Drosophila melanogaster: one gene and its partners. The protein of the gene in region 1 purifies or fractionates together with the protein of each later gene. This does not show direct contact. Each region holds a gene or a part of one and is shown on either strand. Other genes may lie near its edges. The genes, in order: cype, COX5A, COX4 and levy.

Region 1 (4,217 bases):
CGTATCCAAAAATCAGATACTGACCACCAGAATCAACTATCTGTGACCGTCCCGAAAGATTCCCACATCGTATTTGTATTTTCTTTTCTAGAATAACAACAAGAACATATAGCAAGAGGCAGATTGCAGTGTGCGGCTAAAATAAATACGCAAATACAAAATCGAAAACGCAAAATAGAAACCAATTGATATGCTACTTGGCATTTTAGTTTTAAATTTGCGACGGTTTGTTGAAAATCAAGCTAGCGATCGCGGCGGAAAAAATCGCTTCGAGTAAAATAATTTTCAAAAAATATATATGCTTAATTGGGGATTCAAGTCTGCATAGAATATAAACCAGGTTGCAGGGCTTTTTCAAGTGCGAGTAAAGTGATAAAATCAGGAAATTCTAAAATAACGACCAGTTTGCTGCCAAATTTACATAACCAAATCGAAATCGATCGAAATGGGCATTCCGGATATCCGACTGCTGGTGACGCTGGATTTCGAGGTCTATGGACATGTACAAGGTGTGGTTTCATGGGAAATAGGAATCGGGAATCAAGCATAGCATAGCTCTCTCGAATGGTTGCCTAAAAATAAACCCTCAGTAGCTAGTTACTTTGGGGCCCCAAACTGTCCTTGGCTTTGTTTCACGCCCCATTCCACATGCACTAGAGACTATATAAAACATATACCATTGCTTTTTTCGACCGGCAGGCCTGAATCTCACGAAAGACACCCGCGATCGCTGCACCAAGGCGGGAATCACTGGCTGGGTGAAGAACAGCAAACAGGGCACCATTGTGGGCAAGATGCAGGGGCCCAAGGAGGAGGTGGACAAGATGTGAGTAAACCGGAATAGTTTACACTCTCCATGCTAATATTTTCTGATTAAATCTACTCTTAGGATCACCTGGCTGTCCACTGAGGGCTCACCCGGCTGCCAAATCGATCGCTGTGAGGTCCGGAACCAGGGCAATCTCAGCCGACTGGACTACAAGGACTTTGCCATTAGGTTTTAGATGTGGTCCGGTTTGTGTGGCCTTATAGTTTTGTGTGTTTGTTTTGTGCATTACTTGGCTAAGTTTGTAAATACGAGTAAATAATAAAGAATTTAATCATAATTTGCCTTCACATTTACTTTTGCTGGCAATACAAGATAGCTCTAAATTAAAACGCCTTCGTGCACGTACGTAGACTGAAATCTATTTAGTTTTCAATACAGAAGCGCAACTCTTGTTCTACAACATCATTTGACTTAGACTACTTGTGTTTTGGGATAACATAGCCTAGCAGGACTGGAAACGACCGGCGGCCTTCATGCGCTCGAAGGACTTGTTGGCATCGTACTTCCTGCAGGGATAATGGATAAAACAGATCAGATGATGACATTCATGTGGCATAGTTAAGCTATATTTACGAGTAGAAGTCGGCGTAGGCGGCCTTCTTGGGATCGTTGACCAGAATTTTGTAGGCGATGGTCACCACGGCGGTCAGGCCCAGGGAAACGGCCAGGTTGCGCTTGATGGTGGCATTGTGGAGGCCACGGAGCACGGGTCCGGCAGAGGAGGTGGCTGGAGTGTTGGCCATGTCGCTGAAAAGAATGAAAATCACAAAAATCAATTATATTGCTCGGTAGTTACGTAAGGTGCTCAAAGGCAGCTGCCATTAAACGCATAGCAACTAATGAATTCTCCCCAGAAATTTATGGAGTTGATATGGCCAACTGGTATGATATTTAATTACTTTTTTTAAGTTCCAAAACCCCTTGAACCGTGTTTTTTAAAGAAAAACCTTGTTATGTACTCACATTTGCAAATTCAGAATCTGAGATAGAGATGGAACCTAAAACAAATTCTATTCAATACTATCGTTTATTCGAAGAAGGTGGCAGCATTCGCGAAATTATCGATTGATCTTTGGAAAATAAATAATAAAAATATATATTAAAAAGCACTCCTAGACAATTTGACAGAATCATTTCATTTAATAATAAAATGATTTTGAGGCTAAATACGCAGAATTAAGAGAAAAGTGTGTTAAGTAATAACTTTTCAAATTTTTCATCTGGAAGCTATGAGGCCAGCTAAAATCAATAGTTTAAAGCAGGAAAAATATTTGTGAATGAAATTTATATATTGAACATGTTCAAATTATGTTACCATTATATTTATGATTGCTAAACATGTTTAAAAATAAAAGACAATATAGCAATACAATTTATTTATAAATTTATTAGCACTAATTAAATAAAATTACAATTTCCAAACAATTGACAACTCTGCTCGAGCCAAATTTCCAATACAGGCTACTTCGCAGCCCTGGTAACCACAAATATGTCGGGAAATTTAGGGAATTTCGGGCCGCGGACGTCTGGCAACACCGGCTGGAAAATAAAAATGGCTACCACTGTGTGCTTGTTATTGTTCGTGGAAATTTAATAATTACGAAGTTTTTTGTACAAAATAAACAGGATAAACGCATCGTTGCAACGCCAATTGATGGTTGAAAAACAAGCGCGAATCTTTCGACAGCAATCAGTGCGTTTATCAAGTGCCCGCACGCAATCGAACCGTGTGAAATTAAGCCCCCGAAAATCGGCTGCCCGAATGCGTGAAAATTTTCGAGTTCCGCTAAACAGGCATTACTATTTGGCCAGCGATTGTGAAATGGAGAACAGTGGGGGCCCAAACGTATTCAGTTTGCCCTAAACAACAATTGAAAAGCGGGCACGCAAGATTTCCAGCAGGAAAAGCGCTTGAAAAGTGACGCAGGAAAATCCGTATCCGCGCCCCGCACGTGTGTGTGTGTGAGTGTGTGTGTTGCAGTGCATGTGAGTGTGTGTGTTGGTGAGGCTACTACTAAAAAAAAAAGTAAAAAGCAAAAGGGGAGAAGAGAAAAAAATAATAGTGGAAAATGCCCAAAAACCCAAGTCGCAGAGGTTAAAAACTGAGTGCGGATTACATCGAAAGACAATAAACCGAAGCCATCGAGTGTCAAGCCTATAATGCAATTGGTCCAACAATTTCAATCCAAAGGACGCCACGGCGGTCAATCGAAAGCTAAATGCGAGAATTGAGCAGCGTTCTAACAATTAAACCTACGACGCGTGCGATTGTCGTGTGATGATATGCCACTTAAACAGGTGAGTTTATCGTGTTTCGCTTTTTGGTGGAGCGCAACGGAACAGCTGATTTGCGATTATTGCACTTCAAGTGGGCTTCTTTTTCCCCCCTTTTCTTGTCTGTTTTTGCCATCGCTTTTGCTCATTTTACACTTGCGTCACCCACGCACTCAGAGACGGGTATAAAAACAAAAACAATAGGCGGCGAAAAGGGTGAACTAATTGGTTGGCTTCGAGTGTATAGAATCTCGCATTTCCCGTGTTTATTTTTTCATCTCTCTTTTTCGGTTCCCCCTTTTTTATTTTATTAATCAGCCCGCCCCCTTTTTACCCCCCGCCTTAGTGCCAAGCAAGTATTTTGGTTACCTTTTCCCTCTGCCACACACACACACTTGCCCAACCAGCACACGTACACGAGCAAGCACGCACACCGGCGCACCGCCTTCCAAGAGGCCAAGAAGAAAAATGGCGACGACGTCGGGGTATCGATAACACGTCCCGCAGAGAGAAAAGGAAAACGCACGCACGCATGAGAAAATGCAACCTGTGGGCACCAGCTGCCCCGACCCGCTCCGCCCCCTTTTGGCATGCCGCGCGTGGAAAATGCAGTCAGCTGAATTGTCTTTTGGGTTACTCAATTCAAGCGCATTATCTTTGGGGACTGTTGTCGAAACAAATTGTTGTTGGAATTTCCAACGAGTGCCCTATGGCCATCCTGCTCTAGCGCCAGAGACCGCAGGGTCAAAAACAAAACGAGAAATGCAAATAACATATGCAATATATAAAAATAATTAGATTCAAGTATGGCAGATCTAGTGAAGGTAAATTATAAGTTAAATAATTAAGGTTTGGAATTGTGTTTGGCCATAAATTAGGCGTTTCTATGTTTGCGTGTCGTAAACCAGGGCTGCAAACTCTCGCTGCATAGATATCGATAACAAAATAGTGGCCATCGCCAGCAATTTCACTATCCCTCTTCTTCTTTCTCTTCCTATACGGCTCCTTAAATGTTAATTAAATGTTGTAAATTTGCAAAATGTCTCACATGTGTGCCACTTTGCAGCAGCTTGAACCGTCACTGGTGCGGATATTGGTCTCGCTACCCTGGGAC
Region 2 (4,781 bases), on another chromosome or scaffold:
TTGAACCATTCTTTGATTGCTACGAGCCTATGGTCAAGATGGCCGGTGGAGTGCCCCGCTTTGTTCCCCTAAAATTGGTAAGAACCACAATAGAAAAAAAAAATATATCCCTCTTTTTAACATGTCTAACTTCTAGCGCAAGACAGAGGGACCAATAAGCTCTGCCGATTGGGTGCTAGATGACGCTGAGTTCGAGAGTCTGTTCAACTCTAAAACAAAGATGATTATCCTAAACACGCCCCACAACCCTATTGGAAAGGTCTTCAACCGGAAAGAGCTAGAGAGGATAGCCGAGCTCTGCCGCAAGTGGAATGTGCTGTGCGTCTCGGACGAGGTGTATGAGTGGTTGGTGTTCGACGGAGCCGAGCACATCCGTATCTGCACGCTGCCGGGCATGTGGGATCGCACCATTACTCTGGGATCAGCGGGCAAGACCTTCTCAGTAACTGGTTGGAAAATAGGCTGGGCCTACGGACCCGCTGAACTGATTCGAAACCTGCAGATGGTGCATCAGAACTCTGTGTACACCTGTCCAACGCCGCTCCAGGAGGGCGTCGCACGCAGTTTCGAGGTAGAACTGGCCCGTTTGGGTCAGCCGGAGAGCTACTTCCTTAGCCTGCCGCGCGAGCTGAAGCAGAAGCGTGACTTCATGGCCAAGTTCCTGTCCGAATCCGGTATGCGTCCCACCATTCCTGAGGGTGGCTACTTTATGCTGGCAGACTGGTCACCACTGGCGGGCAAGATTGATCTAAGCTCTGAGCCAGACAAGCATCGGGATTACAAGTTTACCAAGTGGATGACCAAGAACATGGGCTTGCAGGGCATACCGCCAAGTGCCTTCTACAGCGAACCCAACAAACATCTGGGGGAGGACTTTGTGCGCTACTGCTTCATCAAGAAGCAAGAGAACCTGGATAAGGCGGCCGAACTGCTGTCCAAATGGAAATAGTCGCCGGACAATAAACGAATTGCTATCAGCCGCTTTGTTTATCTCTGCCCGAATGCAGTTCCCTAACCTGGGTGTTACGTAACCAACAGGGAAAACAACCTTGTGCTGGTGTGGTAGCCTTACTGCAATCTCCATTTATTAGCAATCCAACAACATGTTCATCCGCACCATACATTGGATAGTAGGTAGCTAGTGTCGCTGTAACGTGTATATTGTGTTCTGTGTTTTTAAACTAGTGTTCTCCGCTTAGGCATCGTACACGGACTTCAGGGCCAATTCGGGCTTGTCGTAGCCCAGTTCCTCGATGGTTGGGATGCCCAGCTCCTGCAGTGTGGGGGTGATCTTCTCCAGCAAGTAGGGATAGAGGGTGGCCTTTTGGTCGCCGCACTTGTCCTTGCATCCCTCCAGCCACCTGATGGCCAGTGCAATGTCGTTGACGCGACGGCTGGCACGCAGACCGGCCTCGATGATCTTGGGGCTGGGCACCAGATCCATGCCCAGCAGATCGTTCATGCCCTTGCGGATCTCCCAGCCATCGATGCCCTCACGGCTGAAGTACTTCTCGTAGCGCTTGTCGAACTCCTCCGCCGATTCCTCGGTTCCGTGCAGACAGCGCACGGCGGCCACGCGCGACGATGTGCCGACGAGGCTGCTGCGGAGGGCGCTTGCCAGGTTACGGGCCGTGATGCTCAACATGCTGCCGTTAAAAACAGTAAAATGCTTGTTAATTGCAAAAATTTGGTTAAGTAACAGCTCGACTCACTTTTCTTGTTCTTGCTACTTTTCACACGGGTATGACAGATCTGAGTGATGGTTGGCAACACTGGCTTTTCCAGGGATGGACACGTTTATAACTGTCGCTGTCACGGAACAGTGAGATATTTAAAATGTTTCTGCTTCAGTATATTTCAAATTCGGGTAAGATCACAGTTAGTTTATCATTTTCCTTATATTTAATTTCTTCTATCTTGCCCAAAAAAAGCAAAAAAAAAATCAAAATCAAACCTTGTTTCTTTTTCAACGGTCCACATTGATGCTGGCTACTGCCAGGCGGTATTTTTTGATGATTTAATTGCGGTCACACTGCATCTTCAACTTGACGCGTGCTATTTGATTAATCTCTCTGAAAAATAAGTCAAATTAACCGATAAAGTTTAAAAAAAGGCGATATTGGAAGTTGAAACAGAGCAGAATACGGTTAGTTCTCTGTTCCGCCACCAGGTGTGACATTTAGAAGCGTTTATATTGTGTACGAGACTTGCAAAATGTCATAAGCAATTAGGGGTGACAAGAAATCAAAATGGCGTACGCGGTGCAAAAAAGAATCGCACCAAACAAGCGTCGCTGCTGAGTGGAGAATCACTAGCTCAAAAAATCGCATTTTCAGCCAGTAAAAAACAATTAAAACTAGTTAACCAGTGACTAATCGTTGTAACACCATTTGCAGGTAGAGATCTGGTGAAAAATGTCCAACGCAGACGTGCAATTTAACTACGGCCAGCAGGGAAATGGCGACAACTTCAACGACGACAGCAACCAGCAGCAGGATGAGGATGACCAGTACAACGAAGATGGCGGCGGCAAGATCGAAAACGTCGGCGAGAGCCCCAAATTCGTTCGGTTGCGCGGCCTGCCCTGGTCCGCAACGCACAAGGAGATACTCGACTTTCTGGAAAACGTGAATGTGACTAATGGCTCGGCGGGCATTCACCTGGTCACCAGTCGGGTCGACGGCAAGAACACCGGCGAGGCGTACGTGGAGGTGGCCAGCCAGGAGGACGTCGAAGAGGCTCGCAAGCTGAACAAGGCCAGCATGGGTCACCGCTACATTGAAGGTTTGTTTATTTGCCACTTGAGTGGGGGATGACTGTACCTGATGACTATCTTGGCAGTTATAGTTAGTTTCTTCTCACTTTGTTTATATGTTTATCCTTTTAACAAGCTTGAACTTGTTCTGATTCCATACATGGAATCGAAGATGATTTATTTCTTCATTGTTTTGCTACTTATACTGGTAGCGCTTATTTTCTTTTCATTCATTGTGGAATTTTACCTAATATTAAGGAGGTTTTACAAATATGTCACTGTATTGTTACTCTTATCCTTGCTTCTATCGAGGTAAACTAAAATTTAGTAAAGTAAATTTCACACCACCATTTATAATCTGTATTCATGTTAATTCTTATCTTAATAACAAACACAAAATGGTGCAGAAAACTTGTTTGTTTTTTTTCCGTTTTAACTGATGTAATTGGTTTTTATTTCTTTAGTTTTTACCGCCACGCCCAAGGAGGCCAAGGAAGCCATGCGGAAGATCAGCGGACACGGCACGGCCTTCGTTGTGAAGCTTCGTGGTCTGCCATATGCCGTCACTGAGCAGCAAATCGAGGAGTTCTTCTCTGGTAAGTTTCCTGACCCAAATCCTCTTTCCATACTAATATGTACCAGGTACCAGGAAAAAAGACAGTGGTTGACCGCATGTATTATTTGTTCACATCGTTGAGATATGGCCTACGGTCCCCTTTCATCTACACCTTTCATATATCAATTACACATGCGTTTCAACGTACATACATATTGTCGGGCAAAGAAATGCAGGCCCTTGCATTTGTGTAATGGGTTCGGCGGTTCACGCGGCTCCTTCCAAAGTCAACGGCTGAGAGTTGACGCGGTCACGTCCGCTTGTCCGATAAATCATTCCTTCGTTGGTCACATAACCCAGTTTACTTGGTTATATGGTCGATCATTACTCACAACCTTCAACTGAGCTACACATGTCTACGAGTTACAGGATCTGAGTTTTGTAATACATTGTGGTCCGGGAAACTCGATTGCAACAGTCGCATCTTGCCTGGTGATCATAGTTTGACTAAAAGGCACTGTTTATTTATGCAAACGTTGCTAATACCGTGAGAACCTGCAAAAGTTCTGCGGTGTTGGAACTAAACAATAACATTTATCAACCTCTGTATTTCTGTTTTTCTATCTAAGCTTAACCTTGCATAATGTATATATATATATGAAATCTATATATTTGTATAAATCTTTGTTGGTTATCGTCATGGGCAGGGTTGGATATCAAAACGGATCGGGAGGGCATACTTTTTGTTATGGACAGAAGGGGTCGTGCAACTGGGGAAGCTTTTGTTCAGTTCGAAAGCCAGGACGACACTGAGCAAGCCTTGGGCCGAAATCGGGAAAAAATTGGGCACAGGTGGGTTTCTAATTCATCATATCTTCTACAACAAAAACAGCGAAATTAAAACATTAAGTGGTAATCGATTGCGAACTTGTTGAAACACACAAGGACTATACAATTATTCACAAAATATTTAATAACTTTTATCACAAATAATTTCTATTTCAGTAACTGAGAAATCATTTAGCAAAAAATTTTCCCATAGCTACGGGTCTGGTGGGGCTCTCTAAATACATATATATGTTTAAGCGCGATCATGTGCTTTATCTAACAAATTAATTAAACTGTGAACAGCATTTTTATTTATTTTATTTGATCATTTCAATGAATTTATTTTGATTTCATTTTTTTACGTGATATTTAATAGTTGATCATGGAAAAAAGCCACCGACCCTAGCAATTTCAAGTACCACTTTTAAAATACATATATTTTCCACTTTTATTCACATAGGTATATTGAGATATTCCGCAGCTCGATTGCTGAAATGAAGAGGGCCACAGGCGCCGGTGGCGGTGTCGGAGGACGCCCTGGCCCTTATGACATACGTGATCGTGGTGCCAACCGTGGTGGCAATGATTTCGGCGGAGGGCGCAATGGTATGTTCAGATCTAATTGTTAAATTTTATAAAACT
Region 3 (4,850 bases), about 15 Mb from region 1:
GCACCACAATTTCCGATGGGTATGTTTTGATGATGGACCTTACAAATTGGATCATTACATATTTGCTTTATCACTTGCTCACAGGTGCTCACAGCTAATCACATGGAGCCCGTGAAAGGCTTTCTGGGTCGCTTCCTGAGGCGTCGACTCTTCCAGCTGGAACTGCAGACGCAACATCCGCAGCCGGAGCTGGCGGCAGTGCTGGCCTGGTTGCCCTCCGTTTGGCAGCACATCAACCGATTCCTGGAGGTGCACAGCTCCAGTGATGTAACCATTGGGCCGAGGCTATTCCTCGCCTGCCCAATGGACCTGAAGGACTCGCAGGTGTGGTTCACCGACATCTGGAACTACCACCTCTCGCCATACTTGGTGGAGGCGGTGCGCGAGGGAGTTCAGCTCTATGGACGACGAGGAGGTGCCTGGAACGACCCCTCCGCCTTCATTAGGAACTCCTATCCGTGGCCATACGGTCCGGACTCAGTGCCTCCACTACGGCAAATCAATGCCGAGGATGTGGGACTCGAAGGCGTGGCCCTAACCAACGGTGACCAACAGGATCCCTTGGTAAGATACAGGACTAATATTGCTCCTTTGATTTTCAACTAATGAGGCGTTTCGTCAACAGCTCAACATGCTGATGCGCCTGCAGGAGGCGGCCAACTACTCGGAGGCCCAGGATCAGGAGTCCGATTGTGCCAGCCTGGACTCGAATGTTACGCCCGAAAGTTCCGCTGGAGCCGAGTGAACAGCTATAGAAACCAACCACTTCGTACATGCCAAATTTAGATGAACTAACTGAGAGGAGTACGCCAGCTGAGGGTCCAAGATATGCACCCAAGATATCCTTGCCCCCGCACAAATGAGACTTCTTGCACTACTTTCGCAGCGAGGTTCAAAAGCAGTTCCAAGAGTTTTCCATTTGCACCACGTCACCAACCTTTCCAATCATCGTTTCTAGCCACTCCCTGCCATCTAGAGTAAATTGCACTTTTTAGCGCACTTGTTAAAAATGCAAATTGTCCTAGCCACAAACTGAACCTGATAACGAAGCACTACCATCCCAAAAAGCAAGGACCCCGGCTGCGTTTCCGAAAAACCCAAATCTTGAGAAAAGGAAACTTCACTAACATGAAATGTTACAGAGATAAGACGAGTGAATTCATTTTTGTACATATAGATGAAAACTAACCCCAAGTCCCCCCTATGCTTAAGTGTGAATCTGACCGACGGTCTAGACTTTTTATACCCTTTATCCCAGCCCAGAGTCGGCGGATCATATGAATTAAATCGCAACTAATACCTAACTCTACTGTAAATGTAGCTATAAGTTTTTGCTACTACCAATTTACAAGATGTATAGTTGAAGGAAAAAGCTTTCACTTTAGTTTAATTATTTGCGTAATTATCATTAAATATTGTTACAAACATATTGCATATTTATAAAGCCCAATAAAGCAAAATACCATTAACATATTTATTATGCCAAGCGGCGCTTAAACACAGGAATACGCGAAAGTGAATACGTAATGCCCCATCCTCGATAAAATAGCTAAATTTCCGAACTCCAGATCCCTATCGAAAGATAATCTTATGTAATACAAACTCAAGCAGCAAACTATATGATACGATAAAGCAAATTATGTGTCTCTGTCTAATTTAAATGTGTGCATTTATGAGATATGACATCAAATCAAAATAAAATATAATATCGAACAATAATTGTTTTGTTGTTGTTTCTCTTCTCGCGGACAGACTACAAAAAGAATGTGAAATACCAAACCAAATATTTCACCATGCTGCGAAATAAAATAAAACATAATAGTTGCCCTTATTTGCTGTTTCTTTATTTTAATATATTTAGATTTAAATACCCCGCCGAATTCCGATTGCTAGCGATTGAATATATCGATATATTAATATTTATATTTTTTCATTCGAGATGTGGTCACACTTCTCTGCATGAAAATACCAAAATATCGAGCAATAATTACCCATCCATATATATATTTTGTTTTGTATATTCCCTCTGGTCACATTGTTCAGCAAGTCTAAGAAAAGTAGGTAAAAGTGCTTTAAAAATTGTATTAATTGCGAAAAATATCAAGTACCTGCGACCACAAAGCTATTGAATACAACGAGCGGGATAAGCAAGCCGACATAAATTGGAAAACCAGTTGCCACCGGTTTATAAGCCGTTTTCCGGTAGATGCAACCGCCCACCGATTACACAACATCTGTGATGGCTGTGAAAAATGGGAGAATTATGCGGATATTATGCCAAACACAGCACGAAATCGGGATAAATATATGGCGACAGGCGTAGAGGAACCTCAAAACAATGCGATTTTTATGGAAATAGATTCTATAACTTGGCACGTAGTTCTGCTAGCTGTTACATAACCTCCAACTAAGTGGGCACCATATATCGGTGAATTCGTAACCCGTTAGAATTCACGGATGACCGCCTGGTCGGGTGGGAAATTTGGCTATCGCGGGTCCAAGACCCTATGTTCCTCTGCTGATACCTCATAAATTGATATTCATTTTACTACCTTGCAGACTCTGTGAGAAAATGGCCCTGCGACTACTCAACAGTGCTGTGCTCCGCCAGCTGGCCTCTCAGCTGCCCAAGAGTGCCCAGGTGGGCAGCGTGGCCGCCGTCCACACACTGGACAAGATCGGCAAGCGGGAGATCGTTGGCTACGGCTGGAACGGCACCGCCTGCTACGCGGATCGCGTGGACTACCCTCTGCCCGCCGTGCGCTTCCGTGAGCCCACCAACGAGATCAACGCTCTGCGCGCCAAGGAGCAGGGAGACTGGAAGAAGCTCAGCACCCAGGAGATCAAGGCCCTGTACCGCGCCAGCTTCTGCCAGACTATCGCCGAGGTCCAGGCTGGATCCGGGGAGTGGAAGCTCCACCTGGGCGTTTCACTCCTCTTCTGCGCCGCCGCCATCTGGGTGGCCGTACTGATGAACATCTTCGGTAAGCCATTTTTCCGGTTCCCTTTTGCGGCTATCCATTATTGAGCATTTTCCTTTCAGTGTACGATGAGCTGCCCGTTACCTTCGATGAGGAGCACCAGAAGGCGCAGCTGCAGCGCATCATCGACCTGGAAATCAACCCCGTCACCGGATTGACCTCCAAGTGGGACTACGAGAACAAGAAGTGGAAGAACTAAGTGCGCTGTCGTTAAATAATTCCGCGATTGTGTGTGATTAAGTTAGCCGACGTCTATGTGTATTAAGTAAAAGCAAGATAGTCGAAATTAAAGTTATGGCTGCTGCCTAAATCAATCGATCTTGGGTCAGTCATCAGTTTCTGCTAGGAAACCAGCCTCAATGATCCGTTTTAAGAGCAATGATTGTTATTCGATTTATTAACAGACCTTTTAGTGTGTAGATTACAAACTTTTCGTTACTAAAATCGCCACAGGCATAGCCAATTTAATTACCACTTAGTGAGACCTTTTAGCACTCTTATGTCTCATGTTCCGGCTGTTCGATTTTTGAACCTCATGAACAAGGATCTGCAAGGCTTCCAAGGCATTTGTGTTCTTGGCAAATTCCCTTTCAAACATGCGGCCGAATCTTAAGATCAATGGTTTCAGTTCCGGCGTTATCATTGCTTTCTCTTTTTCGGTCCTAAAAAGGCGGATTTCAAAGGCATTGCCAGACATATAGGCGAACACTACTTACACAGCTCCCTTTTTTATCACCTCTTTCAGGATCTGGACAACCGTTTGAATGTCCCCAAATAATCTGTACTTGTCTTTGGTAGAAATTTCACCGTCAAAGAATAACTTCAGTTCGTTGTCAGTTATATTCTTCTTTCGACCCCATTCCTCCAGCTCTGCCGTCTCTTTTTGGTAGGCGCTCCGAGCTCTGCTGAAAAGAAGTCAGGCATTCCTTGATCTCAGAGCATTCATACTTGATGCAGATGATGCACCTACCTCCAGTTCGAAATATCCCTAGCTGTCTGCTTCATCTTTTTTAAATGTCCTGATCTGTGTTTGAAAGTCTTCTCTTCTTTCTCCTTTGCAACTGTCGCCTTTGGTTCGGCATCTCGGTTAAAGCTATTGAAAGCGAAAGGTTGGTGCCATTCGAAAGTGTATATATCCTTCAGCTCGATCGAATCTGTATCTTACTGTTTGTGCCAATCGTATCCATCGTATGGAGGCCTGTGCAGATTGTGTGCTCGGAGATGACGCTGTCTTTCCATCTGGGTGTGGTTCTGGTTACCTCTGCTGTCCACCTGGAGGAAGAGCAACAGCAGGCAATGGAGGATGAGGATCGCAGCGGGATAGAGCCTTGGTCCCATGGCTGTAGTTTGTGGAGTGACAAATTACTTATACGTTAAATCACAATTAAGTGGGCTGAGATGTATTATGGAACCAATCGATTTCCCATTAGTCACTTATCTCAAAATAGAAAAAAAAACAACATATTTTTAAAAGGGGGTTACTCATTCTAAAGAAAGGGTCAATTTATATTTATAAAATCCATTTCTCCTCATTTGAAATGTATATCGCTTGGATAGCAACAATTAATGCGATTCAATTTATTATTTACACATTCGAACAGTGGAAATGTTCAATTAAGCAGTGATCCATTGATATGATGAACAAGGCTTCCGCTTCCCATTGTCTGGCGAGATCCGAGGCATTATGGCCCTGTGAACGACTTTGCAACGGGCCATAAGTAATCGCGTGCAATCCCAACCTTGTCGGACATCAGATGGAGTTACGTTGTTTATGGTGGTGCCTCACACGTGCTGGCCAGTTTTTCCAGCGCTTTTCCTTCTCGATGTTGTGGTATCCATCGTGGCCCACGACATGTCTGGGCACTACTA
Region 4 (4,282 bases), on another chromosome or scaffold:
CCACACCCAAAGTCAAGCGAGATGATAGTGGCAATGTGGCCATAGTGACAGAGGTTCTGGACTCGGATCTGCCATTGGACGATCAAGATGATCCGACCAAGAACGCCGAGAAGGTGGCCACCGATGTGTTCCCCTGTCCCGATTGCGAACGCTCCTTTCCGCTGCAGCAGCTGCTCGAGATCCATCGGCTGAATCACACTCGCTCGCGCAGCTTCCAGTGTCTCCTGTGCGAGAAGAGCTTCTTCTCCAAGTACGACCTGGCCAAGCACAACTTTGTGCACACCGGCGAGCGGCCATTCAAGTGCGCCATCTGCTCGAAAGCCTTCACACGGAAGGCATTGCTCCATCGCCACGAGCGCACCCACACGGACGTACCCAAGTTCATCTGCGTGTACTGCGAGAAGCCCTTCCTTTCGCGCCAGGAGATGGAGAAGCACGCCGAGCGACATCAGAAGAAGCGTCCGTTCCAATGCGGTGTCTGCACCAAGTCGTTTGCCTTCAAGCAGGGATTGGAGCGTCATGAGGTGGGTTGACAAGCATATTTGGGATTGCCCCGGCTAACGATTATGTCCACTTTCAGACAGTCCACTCCACCAATCTTCCCTTCCCCTGTCAGCATTGCGAGAGAAGCTTTTCCACCGCTTCCAAGCTGGCCCGCCACCTGGTTGCCCACGCCGGGAAGAGAGCCTATCCCTGCAAGTACTGCCACAAGTCCTACATGCTGTCGCATCATCTCTCGCGCCACCTGCGCACGCACACGCAGACTTCCGACGCCTCGTTCGTGTGCAGTGAGTGCAAGGTGTCGTACAGCAACTATAACGACCTACTGGATCATGCGCTCATTCATGCCACCGCCAGCCTGAAATGTCCCATGTGTCGCAAGCAGATCGAAGATATCGACAGTGTCGAGAGCCACATGGACCAGCACAAGCAGAGCGAGCGCCATGCCTGCGAGTTCTGTGACCACATCTTCTTGACGCAGAAATGCCTGCAGCGCCACATCGAGGACGATCATGTGGTGGAAATGGAGCCGTACCAGAACGAGTTCGAAGACGACGGCGAAGGAGAAGGCGGCGTCGATGAGAAGGAGGAACATCTTGACGATTTTGAAGACATGGACAATGTGAAGCAGGAAGAATTCGTGACGGAATACTTAGAAGACGATGCTCTCTATGAGGACCACCTAGACGATAGCGACGAATCCTTCACGCCGCCGCCTCCAAAGCAGCGTAAAACCAATCCTCCCAAGGATGCCCAGCAATCCGTGCGCCAAACTCGCAGTCGGGATGCTCAAAGAATCACTCAGAAGACAGGAAAGAACGAAGGCAAGCCTCATCACAAACTGGAACGCAACCTTAAGAATCGCCGATCCGCAAAATAATGATAGTAGTTGAATATATTGCATGCGAAAAGTGCATCCGTGCTTATGCTTAAATTTAAATTCTATTTAATTGTAACTTTTAATTTTTCCTTTAACCGAAGGCCTTTTAAATAAACTCCTCACCAGAATTCCGCTGTCGCTCATTGAAATGGTCTTTATGGGATCTCTCCTCGCTCTAATTTGATCTTTATTGAAGCGCCAACTGGAGTTTGGGTATATGTGTTTTCTGTGTATTTCCGCGTAAAGTTCAGTTTACATTAACGTCTATCACTACCAAACAACGAATACATCCCGCAGAGGGAACCGGAGACGGTGGCCACCTAGTGCTCGTAGCCGTCGGGCAGGGCGTTAACGTGGGGGTTGTGGAACAGGCTCTTCTGGCCCTCACCCCAGGGGAAGCGCTTCTCGCGGCGGCGCAGGTAGTCGTACTTGACGAACTCCTGGCGGGGCTTGTCGTGCTCCTCCTGGTGCTTCAGGTAGGCGTTCAGCATGCACAGTCCCACGGCGGGCACGGCCACGAAGAAGGACAGGCGCTTCCACACCTTGTAGCCACCTGAAGGATGAGAGATGAGATGAGCATGAAAGGATGTGTTATAAGAGCGAATCCTTCTCCACCAATCGATCTTGCCCAATGGTAAATTACATAACCTTAACCTTACAAAAGGGGATGAATTTGGCAATTGGGACGCTGGACGGTCACTTACCAGAGTGCTCGCCGGCCACGGCGGCGGTGCCGGACATATTCCGGGCGGCAGAAGCGCCGAATTGGCGGCGAATTGCGTGGTTTAGAATAGCGGACATATTTTCAGTCGATTCTTGGCCCGAATGAAAATTTGCTGTTTTGACAAGTAAATAGGGATGGGCTACATCCATAATGTCGTGACTCGTTCGCTAAATTATATCGATAGTGGTTGGCCGTGATTTCTAAATTACGTACAACAAAGCTGTTAATTGGCTTAATATAAATAAAAAACAAAATAAAACAATTCTATGCCAAATTGTAAATAAGTAATTTGACATTTTTCCTTTGTATCCTCCCCTGGCTGCCGTGACACAGCTCTAGCTAATCGAGAAGTTATCGCCTCACGCGCCCACCGCTGACGATAGGTAGGTACTGTGTGTGCGGACTATCGAGGCTGGAGTCGGCTACCAATCGTCCATCCACAACAACAACGTGTCGCGTAATTATTTTCCCCTCTTGTTTATAAAATTCAGTGCATCAGATTGTAAATACACTGCACACCCTGCAAAGCCACCGCAGCATCTCGAACCTAAGCAACGAACGGGAAAATCATTATCGTACGGGCAGTGAAGCGCAGTTAACCAGGAGCAACAACCAATCCAAGTACAAAGTAGCCACAAAACGTCAGTTATTCACTAAGTGCACAGTTCGCCAGCGGACATAACGGTCGCTACACTCGGAGAAAACCACAAGTATTAAGGACCACACAGTCCACCAATCCACTAGCAGCCCACTGCCATGGCCGCCAACAACTTGCGACAAATCCCGCTGACCTGCAGTGGCCACACGCGACCCGTGGTCCACCTGGACTTCAGCGACATCTGCGACGCCGGCTACTTTCTCATCTCGGCCTGCAAAGGTAAGGTCCGCGGGATCGGGCAGCCAGTCGCATGCGATTAGCCGTCCTTGCGCGCTATTTATACACCACTTTCCGTCGTCGCACAGTGGTTGTCATAATCATACGATGGGGTTAAAATCGGAAGTGTCAGTCACTGACGAACTGGGACACAACGCAGATTCCGTAAGAATTGGATTTAACTAGTGTTTCTATATAGACAGTGTTCATTTGCAATAGTTTAATGTCTATACAGCAAGTTTCCTGGTAAAAACAGGCAGTTACTTTTGCTTATTGGTCAAATTTGTAGTATAGTTTTGTAGGAAGGGCAAATAATGTTTTACCCAGAAGGCCATGTCGAAAAACAAGTTATGTTGTCCGTGTTCTTTGACGGATCGTTATGTTCGTGGGAAAGGTGCTGCAACAGAGCGGCATGGAATCACATGAACTACAGGCGGGCCAGCACGGTGTAGCATCATGTCTAGCCTGTGGGAAACCTTGACCCAAATGCAAAGTCACTCATCGCGAGCGAAACCTGTTTTCTGCGAGTGCGAAACCCTTTTGCCTGCCGCCACTCGCATGCTACAAAACTCGCATTCTTTGCCTTGAGGTGTCAGCCAGTCGATGCGATTGCAATTGCCATGGCAGTTGCAATTCGCAATTCGTTAGCTATTGCCTGTTTTTTACAGGCACTTTGCATTCGTGGCTTTCGCAAATGTTGCTTTTATGCGGAAAGAGCGCTCGTTCCCACTGCAAGTTCAAGTTGACTTCGTTATCGCCTTTTAACGTACTCGCTTCCCCTTGTTTAGCAACTTTTCGAAACTGCTCGTTCAGGAAGCACCTTGGAACTTCTATATTTATATGCTGTGTGTATATGCAGCTGCCGTTTGTCTGCCGCCTGGAAGATTCTGCTTGCTGGATACACTCTCCCGATCCCGATCCGCTGCAATTTATTCGGATACAGCATCTAATGTGGGCTTAATTCGTGCGGTTCTCACTGCGATGAATCATTCCAAGTTTAAGGCCACAGTAATTGTATAAATTAGAATGGGAAATTACATAGTATATATTACATTATTAAGTGCTCTTGTTAGAAAACCTTTCTCTGCAAAGTTAAACTAATAGAGTTCCTATACAAAAGTGAAGTAGCAGGCAAACATTAGTAGAAGTCCTTGAAATGGCGAGAGTTGTGGGTGATCATTTATCACACACATAGAATGCATTGATGATGTAGCTCTGAACGAACTAACAAGCCGCGTCCCTGCACTGCACTGCACTGCAATGCAGCACCCTGCATCCCGATCCCGTTGAGCGCGACAGTGCA

Evidence for each region.
Region 2: the proteins of cype (region 1) and COX5A fractionate together in Drosophila melanogaster (co-fractionation; one study listed by BioGRID). This does not show direct contact.
Region 3: the proteins of cype (region 1) and COX4 fractionate together in Drosophila melanogaster (co-fractionation; one study listed by BioGRID). This does not show direct contact.
Region 4: the proteins of cype (region 1) and levy fractionate together in Drosophila melanogaster (co-fractionation; one study listed by BioGRID). This does not show direct contact.

Annotation. Positions count from the first base shown.
Region 1 is NT_033779.5:5,324,862-5,329,078, reverse strand, and holds cype (cyclope), read right to left. Parts: upstream 1,853-4,217; 5' UTR 1,793-1,852; intron 1,791-1,792; exon of another isoform or gene 1,729-1,790; intron 1,577-1,728; 5' UTR 1,573-1,576; coding exon 1,403-1,572; intron 1,336-1,402; coding exon 1,272-1,335; 3' UTR 1,110-1,271; downstream 1-1,109. Other genes in the region: CG14022 (uncharacterized protein), read left to right, coding at 446-509, 700-826, 890-1,004; Ncoa6 (nuclear receptor coactivator 6), read left to right, coding at 3,113-3,127, 4,170-4,217.
Region 2 is NT_033777.3:11,816,576-11,821,356, reverse strand, and holds COX5A (cytochrome c oxidase subunit 5A), read right to left. Parts: upstream 1,999-4,781; 5' UTR 1,955-1,998; exon of another isoform or gene 1,937-1,954; intron 1,810-1,936; 5' UTR 1,713-1,809; exon of another isoform or gene 1,647-1,712; 5' UTR 1,646-1,646; coding exon 1,196-1,645; 3' UTR 1,058-1,195; downstream 1-1,057. Other genes in the region: Kyat (kynurenine aminotransferase), read left to right, coding at 1-77, 137-949; glo (glorund), read left to right, coding at 2,415-2,784, 3,220-3,351, 4,019-4,163, 4,600-4,745. UniProt on the Drosophila melanogaster protein: Component of the cytochrome c oxidase, the last enzyme in the mitochondrial electron transport chain which drives oxidative phosphorylation.
Region 3 is NT_033779.5:19,956,708-19,961,557, forward strand, and holds COX4 (cytochrome c oxidase subunit 4), read left to right. Parts: upstream 1-2,005; 5' UTR 2,006-2,061; intron 2,062-2,124; exon of another isoform or gene 2,125-2,559; 5' UTR 2,560-2,572; coding exon 2,573-2,984; intron 2,985-3,043; coding exon 3,044-3,180; 3' UTR 3,181-3,358; downstream 3,359-4,850. Other genes in the region: sick (sickie), read left to right, coding at 1-19, 85-564, 626-745; CG34051 (uncharacterized protein), read right to left, coding at 3,457-3,643, 3,698-3,886, 3,952-4,074, 4,147-4,319; CG42866 (uncharacterized protein), read right to left, coding at 4,732-4,850.
Region 4 is NT_033778.4:23,546,190-23,550,471, reverse strand, and holds levy (levy), read right to left. Parts: upstream 2,234-4,282; 5' UTR 2,183-2,233; coding exon 2,086-2,182; intron 1,935-2,085; coding exon 1,702-1,934; 3' UTR 1,490-1,701; downstream 1-1,489. Other genes in the region: pita, read left to right, coding at 1-524, 581-1,381; wmd (wing morphogenesis defect), read left to right, coding at 2,862-2,982.